Drosophila melanogaster: one gene and its partner. The gene in region 1 interacts genetically with each later gene. Each region holds a gene or a part of one and is shown in the gene's direction. Other genes may lie near its edges.

Region 1 (4,881 bases):
GGCGCTCGACCGAAAAATGCACTGCATTTTTCGTTATGGAAAGGGTTTGATCTAGTGGTATTTTTATAAAATAAAAATATATGAAATTAATTTAAAATGCATCGAAAAAGAATTATTAAGGAACGCGTTCCGGAATAATTCCACTTCCGACTGGGGAAGCAAAAGCAGCAGCAAAAGCAGGAGCTTTTGCCTTTGCTTATTGGATTTTCGACGCCGGCACTCCACGTGTTTCTTGAATCGCGTAAATTGTTCGTTTTCCCTTACCACACCCCGCCCCTTTACCGACAAGCTTTCATTGTCATTGTGTGTGCATAAAATGGCAGCAGAGAGAGAGAGAGAGAGAGAGAATGGGAAAACATGCGCCAAAAAAAAGCTTACCGCTCTCTCCTCTCTTTCGCTCACTGCAAAACGAATGCGCATTGTTATTGTTTTTGGCAAGGCTGCACTGAAAAAAAAATACTGTTGCTAACGAACTGTCAATGAATAGAAATAAGGTAATTGTTTGATTCAACTTTATCAACTCTTTTTCCACTAAAATTAAGTGGTTATTGTTTGATTGGCTAGGAATTTGATATTTTTGATGGGAATTGCATTCAAAAAAGGGACTCCTGACACTTGTGTGAATAGGGGAAGTTTTTGGGCTGAGAAATGAAAAGCATTTTGAGGGTTTTTGTTCCAATTTTGATGGTTTGATCGGAAAGTTCTCAAGGGATATGCAAATTATGCGAGAACTGAGTAGTTAGGTTATTATTGTTTTCTTCCTAGAAATCAAAGACCAATTGTAAGAATTTTCTAAAGAATTCCAAAGAATTCCACTAAAAAAATTTTATCCTTTACTTTTGTTTTCTGAGAGTGATCAAGATTTTAAAGAAACGTAATGCGTTCTTTTGCATTAAAGCTATGCAATTAACATTTTTCCCATATTCCCATCTTAACTCATTGTGCCGATCTTAAAGTGGTTTTCCATATAAATCGCCTCTTGCGAACCCTATTTCTATTGCATCTAATATTCAGAGACCACCTGGATGGAATCCCCCGCTGTTCGAATAGGTTAAGACCAAGTTAAGGTTTGCTTTTGCTATTTCGGGACGAGATTTCCCTAAACATTTTCCACTTGAGCGGAGCTCCTATAAATTACCTCATGTCCTTTGCCTTATGCAATTGCGCCTGCAAAAGAGAGAGTGAGAGAAAGAGTGAGAGACTCACCCCCGGATTATGAGGATATATGTAATTTTTATCCTGGGGCGGCAGTGCATACACACAGAAAAAGACATGCAAAAAGCAGTTGCAACGACCATTACTTCTACTCGCCTGAGTAAATTGTGTTCTAAAAATCATTAAAAAAAAATATGTAAACTATTTTCTGTTATACTTTAGACTATTTTCGGTTATCCTTTTTAAGAATCCTTGTTGGAGATGTCCAATCTGACAATTGCAAGTTGCTCGCCTGCATTCCAATTGGATTAAAAGCTCGCTCGCTCGCTCGCGCTCTCTTTCTCTCTCTCTCTACGGAGCACACCACTGCACGCTTGTTCGTTCGCCGCCTGTTGGAATCGAAATCGAATCGGCAGTCAAAAAGAAACTGCCGTGTTGAACGGACGTGTTGAAGTTTCGCGGTTGCTTGTTTCGGTGGTGCTCGCAGCAGCAGCAGCGTTTGTGCATTCGCATTCGCAGTCGCAAATTCGCATCGCCTCGTCGCTCGTCAGCCCTGGCAACTGCAGGCAACTCAAGTTTTACACGTAAATTAAGAAACGAGGAAGCACGGACAGAATCGAAACCGCTTGATAAAACAGTTATTCTCTACATTTCTGAACTGAAAGAACTGCAGCGGATGAAGTGCAAAAAGCGAAAAGTGCTAAAAGTTTGCGGCATTGAACACTTTTAATTATTATTTACGTTTTGTTTGTGTTTCGTCGAGCAAAGCAAATGCACAAACTAACTGTCCAGTGTGCATGTGTGTGGCAAGAGTGCGTGAGTGCGTCGTGAGTGTTGCAAAACGGCTGTTCGCCTAGTAATTCAAAGGTAATTTTGAGTGAATATTGATCATATTGAAGTGCATGTGGTATGTTTCAAAGCTCAAATAAAGTGACATAAAATCAAAAATGAACAATTATGCGTGTGTACTTGGTTTTCTCGCACACATGAAATTCTGGCCTATGTGTGTGTGTGTGTGACTTTGCAACTCGAATTTCAAACGGTACAAAACGCAGCATAAAAAATGAAGCGAATAGCAAAAGCAAACTGAGAAAAAGTGAAGTATAGACTTTTATGCATAACCAAAACGTCTGCATTTTTAATCAAGCAACAACAATAGAAAAATAAGCAAAAGCAAACTACAACAACAACAGCGAGGAGTACATGGAACAATAAACAACCCTCCCCGTTTTCCGCCTCCCCCTGAAAATAAACAAGGCGCAATACCAGTGAACTGAACCCCTTTTTTGCACTGTGTGTTTATGTGTGTGTGTGTGTGTGTGTGTGCTACGAAATAGCAATTAAGGGAGAATAGAGGAAAGTGCATGAAGTGCAGGAAAGAAGGCAAAATGCAATTAATCCCCAGGACACTTGTTCAAAAAAGCGAGAGAAAAGTGTAGAATAACGGTGAACAAGTGTTGAACAACTACAGAAATACACTACAAAATGTGAAAACTTCTTAAAAATAGTTTTGAAGTAAATGTTCTTAAAACAATTAGACAATTCACTGCTCAAATAAAAATGTTTCCCCTTCCCCAAAATTTCCAAGTCCCAATGCCATATAAAGTGTTTTTGAGTAGAATAAAAGACATTTGCCAGAAGCAAAGTGGGAATTACGGTCCCAAAATGGGAAAATGAAATATATTCTGCGATAATAAAATCATTAATCCAATTCCACTTACAAGAAATCGGGCTGATAAGAAACCAGAAATTCTGGGCACAAATGAAATGAAATTTATTCGGGTGAACTGTGACAAATTAATATAATATTAAAAAGAAAATGAATACTTAAAACATGTCACATTATCCCCGAATAGATTTGAGTTTCAATCAGCCAAATTCCACTTACACTTTTTAATAACAATTTTCTAACCGCTTTTGTATTTGCAGCCAAATGTCAATGTGAAAATGTCTCAACGAGCAAATTTTAGGAAAGTCAAGAAAAACATTCAACGACCTCAAAACCAGCGAATGCTACAAAATGCGAATCAAGAACATTTAACCATCTAAATATTCAAAATCAATTTAATTGAATCAAATAACGCGAAATTGCAACAAATCAACCTAAAAATGAACTGAAAACAAAAACATTTCGAAAAACAACGCAAAATTCTAAAATTGGCAACATAAGTTTTGGTCTTGAATTAAATACAACAAAAATAAATTAACAAAAAACGATTTTTGGCAACAAAACATCATACATAAAATATACACAAATTGTAATTATCTCAAAACGTCCACACGTGAAAATGATTTGCAACTAAGATGACAATCTAATAAAATCAATGTAAATTTTTAACGCAACAAAAGGAAAACCAAAACCGTCAGCAAAAACCAGCCCAAAATCAGTTGAAAAGCCGAGGGAAATCTTTTTAGAACAAACGCAGAAAACCGCAAAAATTTAAGCCACCAAATTGGTAAACTATTCAAAATTATTGGTTCGGACATACGCAATACTAAACACAGCAACACAACAACAACAACAACAACAGCAACAACAGCAGCCATAGCAACTACTACAGTGATCACTACAGTAAAAGCAACCGCAACAGAAGCAGCAGATAAAACGTGTGTGTTAGTTTGCATAAAAATTTCGTTTCGATAAAAGCAAAGCAAAATCATTTAACAAAATAAATAAAGAATAAAGTAAAAAAAAAAATTACCAATCGTAATACATGTATTTATAAAATATATACCTATACATATATCTATGCTTACGAATTATATCGGAGAATATTTGGTAAACAATTTTTGATAAAAACAACTCGAGTATATATCCTAACTAATTAGCAACAAAAAGAACTAGAACATTTGGCCTAAGTGAAAAAAAAAGTGAAGTGAGAAAAACTAAAAAGAAAAACTTATAAATTCAAAATTACCACTTGTGAAAGGTGTTACAACTGAGGATTCTGGATTTGGATTAATGCGTAAATTTGCAATTGAATATTAAGGTGAGTTTGTTATGTTATATTTATGAAAAATTCACAACTTGTCATTTTTTCACACATCTCTTCGCATTTCTTAATGGCCCTTTTAAGTTTCCCCACGCACGAAAAAGTGCGTAAAATGAAAAATGTTTTTTTTTTTTTTAGAAAGTGTCCACAAACATTTGCAAACAATTACCGCTCGTAAAAAAAAGGCAAGTGCTCCGCCTCTAATTACAATTATAATTTATGCAAAAAGTAAGGAAAACATTTTTTGGTCAAGAGAAAAATTGTCTACGCACTTTGCGTATGATTTATGACACTCAAAACTTGGCGTTGCATATTAATACGCGAGAAAAAAGCAAAAGTTGCTTGCTTGTCACTTCTACATGTGTATCTACGCACACACACACACAAACTCTCTCACACACTCACGCACGGAAAGGGGTGTAGATATTTTTTGGGGTTGTGCATAAATTAAAAATATATTACTTCTGCTTCTTGCCGATGCACAAAAAAAAAAAAAAAATGCGGCGCAGTTGACACGCAATATTTTTCGACTGCGCTGCCGGCGCCGCTGCCACTTTGACCTACTTAGCAAACGCAGCGTGTTCCAAATTTTGTGCGTTGTGTACTTCTTTGTACCGCTCTCGCCCCCTCTCCCTCGCGCACTCGCCCCGTCCCGCTCGCACGCGTTGGGGTTGGTCTGGCATTGCGTGCGCTGGAAGTTGTAGTTTTTGTTTCAGTTTCTGTTGTTGTTGCT
Region 2 (4,838 bases), on another chromosome or scaffold:
ATCCGCGAGATACTCTTCCCGCGCCGCTCTTTGCTAATTGATTTATGAGATTGCAAATGCAGATGCCCCCAGCCAAGCTCTTTCGACACTCCGCCATAAAAAGGGCTAAAATTTGTGCGATCCAAGGTACAAGAAATGGTGCAAGAAATGCGCCTTTAAAGCTATGTGAATTTTATCGTTCTACAATCGGCACGGGATCAATTGGTGAAGATGTAAATCGGATTTGGATGAAAAATGTATCCCCTTGCCTATGCAATATATACAGTTTCATGCAAATCAATGACAAAGCCTTCCGCTCTCACTTTCGTAAACATTTTTTAAATAATATGTTGTAGTACCCTAGTATGCAATTATATTAAGTTTTCACATTACCTCGATGATATTGATAGTTAATATAATAAGTAAGTAATTTTCTTTAAATTCAATTTTTGTATGAGCAAGTCAAAATAATTACATAAATTCATTAAATTTAAGTCACTTTATCACTTCATTTATTTAAATATTAAATTAATAACTTTTGTCTCTGAAACACTAAACGAGAATCAAAAACGGTTAATTAATGAGTATTATCTTAATGTTTTCTGATCGCTGAGCCATTCATTCCCCTACAATTTGGTCACCAATGGGAAACTACTGAAGTACCGAAGGCCCTTTCGAAATCGATTCACTGCCCAAAAATCGAACTCTCGACCATTTTTGGTTACCTTTTTGGGAGTTGCGTGCATCGCCTGAGGGAAGTATCTTTTAATGGAGCCGAGCTTCGGCAAAATTATCTCCGCCGTACTGTATAAACGATCCTGACTAATATAACGGCTGACGATGAAAGGGGACCTTTCAATGTGATAAATGCGAGTGCGACACACGCAAATCGCTGCGTCTAAAGGTGGCATAAATACGCGGCGCAGGCCGAAACCCAGCTGAGTGGTTCGACCTATATCGTCGGCTAGACGCCCAAACCCGATTCGATGCTCCCCATATCTGGCGCTTCTTCTTCTCGCGCCACGCGGAAAGAGAACGGAAGAGAGAGAGAGAGCGACCAGAGTGCAAATTTACGATCGGCACATGCAGGCGGGAGACGTCAATGTACGGCAACAAAGTTGCTCCACTCGAGCTTCTCGCAGAGATTCGCAAAAAAACACGCGAACTTCAAGAGAGAATCGCTCAGAGAGGAAGAGCACGTCTTCGATGTTTTATGCTCCCCATTAATGGGGCAAATGCACTTTACACTCTCGCAGACCCGTTTCTCTCCGTAACTCTCTGTTGCCCAAGATGCTTTCGTTTGAGTTCTTCACATACCAACGTTGCTTCGAGCTTATGAGTTTGCTAAAAATCGTGGGAACCGATGAAAGAAATGCCCTTCTATCGTATAAATGTTTCTGTTTAAAAACTATTTACTTAGTATTTAAAATAATTGACCGTTTTTCGTATTTCACATATTAAATAGCAACACAGAAGTAATGAATATTTTAAAACATTTTCCGTTCAAATACATAATTTTTTAAAATACATTTTATTTGGCTGATATTAGCGGAAATTAGCCCTTAAAAGTATGCAACGCAGGTAAGGAGAATTAAGTATCCGCAGTGCGGAACCTATATTTTTCGCGGCGAATTTAGCTCATATTACATACGATTTAATAGTTTGCAATACTTTTTTATAGTTCATAGTTCATATTGTAAGAATTGTGTTTAAATTATGTTATTTTTAGCATGGTTTACTTATGGAAAAGAGCATAGTTAAGGGTTTACAATGAAAACGGTCAAATAAGGGTATCCATATCTGGTACCAAACCAATTTGCTTTCTCCCAGTTGATGTGCAGTGCATCCAGCAGTCGAGCAGGTTGGATGCTCGCACTCGTTTCTTTTTTCGCGGTGCAGCAACCAGAGTGCAAATACAAATAGCAAGAGCGTTGCGTCGCCAGTCGGTGGGCCCGTCTCTGTGCCAGAAACACATGCTCAGTTTTAGGTCCGCCCGTCCGCCTGAATGTCCGTGTATCTGTCCGCTGTCTTTTGGTCTGCTAGTCGGACTGGTACTGGTCCGAGTGTTAGTATCGTGCACGGGGAGCTTTAGCTTTGTGGCCGCAACCAGTTTGCTGGCATCGATCGTCCTTTGCAGGTCGTGCATGTCGCGTTGGCGTCTCGCGCCGTCCGCGTTCCGTGCTCGAAATCACAATCTCAAGCTGAAGTGAAAAGAACTGGAGCGGATTCGGTACAAAATTCTGTGCGATAGTTTTTAGTTGCTGTGCGAGGTCCGAAAATATCTCTAAAATGCGTTGACCTACAGGGAACCAGATCGAGCCGCGAGTGCCATGCTAAACAAAGTCGTTTGCGGCTACAGCTTGTACGGTTTAAGATAACAAATAAAAGAAATAAATTTTTACCGGCTTCACACTCTCACTCTCGGTCCACGAAGCACTCCTGACCGTCTCGTACCCAGCCGATCGGACTCCCCGTATCTCATCGAGTTCGCCGAGTGCTAGTGCTATATTCTCTCACTTTGCTTGCATAACCAAGAGCAAAGCACACCTCGCGGAGGCAGATCGCAGATGCAGATACAGATACATATACTGCTAGTGGTCTAGTAGTGGACCTGGAGATACTCTAGCGAGTGCATGCAATTGGCATTGTACCTGGTAAGTGAACGATGAGTTACGAGCGCTCTGCGGCCAAAATGTGCCACCACTCCGCTCCGTTTTGCCACCTTTTTGCCCGGCATTTGGGGGCGTTGCAAACTGCCTTGTAATTGCCTGACATAAATGCTCGTGTGTACAAGGCTTAATGGCGATAGCAGCAGGTACGCTCAGCGATTGCCATCTACAACTGGCGGTATGACTGCTGAATGGGGGGGAGCCAGGGGTTCAGGCTATTGTCTGACTTCCAAATTAAACAGGAAACGAGCAACAGGTCGCGTTTTACAGCCACACTATGAGACTCCCGCATTAGTTTCTAAGATTGGGATAGCGTAGGCCATTGCCATTGTCGTTTGCGATCGGCTATCCTAGATGACTGCATACATATAAGGCAAATTGGACCAAGGTCTAAGTGGTTATGAGGAAAATGCAAATGACAAATACGGAAACCAACTGGCTTAAAACGATAAACACGTGCTGAATATTTTTATTCAAATTAAAGTTGAAGCGAAGGCGTTTCTTGTTAATTTTAAAGCTTACCATCGATTATTCACGAGTGCTGCAATTATAAAAAATATATGTAAATTAGAACTTAAATTTTTGCCAATGCTCATTGTGTATAGCGCGAAAGGACAGTTTACCTTTAATATTTTGTGTTATCTTGGGGATAATTATTCATTTCTTTTGGCTATTATTCTTGTCATTTGTAGTCGAAATAACATAGTTAGCCTTGCTAAGTTAAAACTCATATTTTAGTGGGCGTAAGAGATCATTAGTAGAAACTGCAGCTTGCTTTCACTCACGAAATCTCGACTTTCATGAAGACGGATGACGCAAATGGCAAGATCGAGTACACCTGTCTGTAGTCTTAAAAAAAAAGGTATAAGAACCTAGCATGCCGTTTGACTCCTCAGCAAACATGCAGACTTTTTACTCATAGATTTATATTAAGTAAGTTATTAAACCATATTAGCAAGACGAATATTTTAGTATAATATAAATCTGAGCTTGGTACATTTTCCCAAGAATATATACAAATATAAAATACCTGTAAATGCATTTTTCTTAGTGCACAGTTATAATGATCTGTACTCAACTTTTTAAGCTGCACCCCACTTGCAATTATCATATAATCGACTTAAGGTGCTTTTGCCATTTATAACGCCGAGCTGTCCTTGGCCCATTAATAACCTGAAGTGGGTTCTTATCGTGATCTCTTCCGCTTTAGACAAATTAATTGAGCATACATGCGCAAGCTGCACATTTTTTATGCTCGCCCGTAATCAATTTAATCCGCTTTTCCTTTGGCAACTTTGACCACTGTTTCCCTGCTTATATTTGTCATTATTTCCACCAAACACAAATATTGAAAACTGATAGCCAGCAGGGTCTTTCTCTTAAAGTGGCTCTTCGGAGGAATTATTTCTCTGCGGGTCTCTCAGCTCATACAAATTAGAGGCGACATGCAAGATAAGCAATCTTGTGCAGTTTTTAAACACACAGGCAAAATAACAACATTTTGCCGTGGCCAGCGGGAGGCGGTGGAAGAAGGGGGCGGGTATCTGGTGCTAGCACGAATGTGAGACCCGTTATCAGCACATCGTTCATGCTCAATTTACCCTCCATTTAAATACAGGGTATTAACTCTTTAGACTCCGAAATTAAGTCATTACAGCAAACGAAAATTGAGACAGACAAACGCTCACACTACATGTCACCTAGCTAATAGATTAAAATTCTCATCGATACTGGCTTTCGTCTATGTCACATATATTTCTCCCTATCTTTCGTTCATTAGGTTCTAATCAATCGTCAAACATTTTGAGTGTGAATCTGTGTGCATAGGCAAGTTCAATGAGTCACCATAATGTCAAACTAAGTGCAAATTAGATTAAACACGAATCAAACACGCCAGCAGGTGTGGAGAAAGTGGACAAGAAGTGTAGAAGAATCTTATATTCCCTATCTATATAATATAGAAATATTAACCACATTCTTCCCATGTATACTTTTTACTTATATTACTTATATTATTTGGTTTTTTTATTATTGATATGTAATTGATTGATGTAAAGCTTTTTTTATTTTTGTGCTTTAGAGGGCCATTTATCGATTTACGAGTATCAACATATTTATAGGCTTAACTTATTTAAGCAGGTAACAATATTTTGGTTCTTTAAGTTTGAGTAAACCCATTAAATTAAAAAA

Evidence for each region.
Region 2: of chinmo (region 1) and dsx, changing one suppresses a phenotype caused by changing the other (phenotypic suppression), as found in Drosophila melanogaster (one study listed by BioGRID).

The regions. Positions count from the first base shown.
Region 1 is NT_033779.5:1,649,691-1,654,571, forward strand, and holds the start of chinmo (chronologically inappropriate morphogenesis), read left to right. Parts: upstream 1-1,567; 5' UTR 1,568-2,022; intron 2,023-3,084; 5' UTR 3,085-4,145; intron 4,146-4,881. UniProt on the Drosophila melanogaster protein: Required for morphological differentiation of postmitotic neurons during postembryonic brain development. Ensures production of appropriate neuron subtypes within a lineage by preventing precocious generation of late neuronal types of that lineage.
Region 2 is NT_033777.3:7,964,258-7,969,095, reverse strand, and holds the start of dsx (doublesex), read left to right. Parts: upstream 1-1,687; 5' UTR 1,688-2,633; intron 2,634-4,838. UniProt on the Drosophila melanogaster protein: Controls somatic sexual differentiation. Binds directly and specifically to the FBE (fat body enhancer) of the yolk protein 1 and 2 genes (Yp1 and Yp2).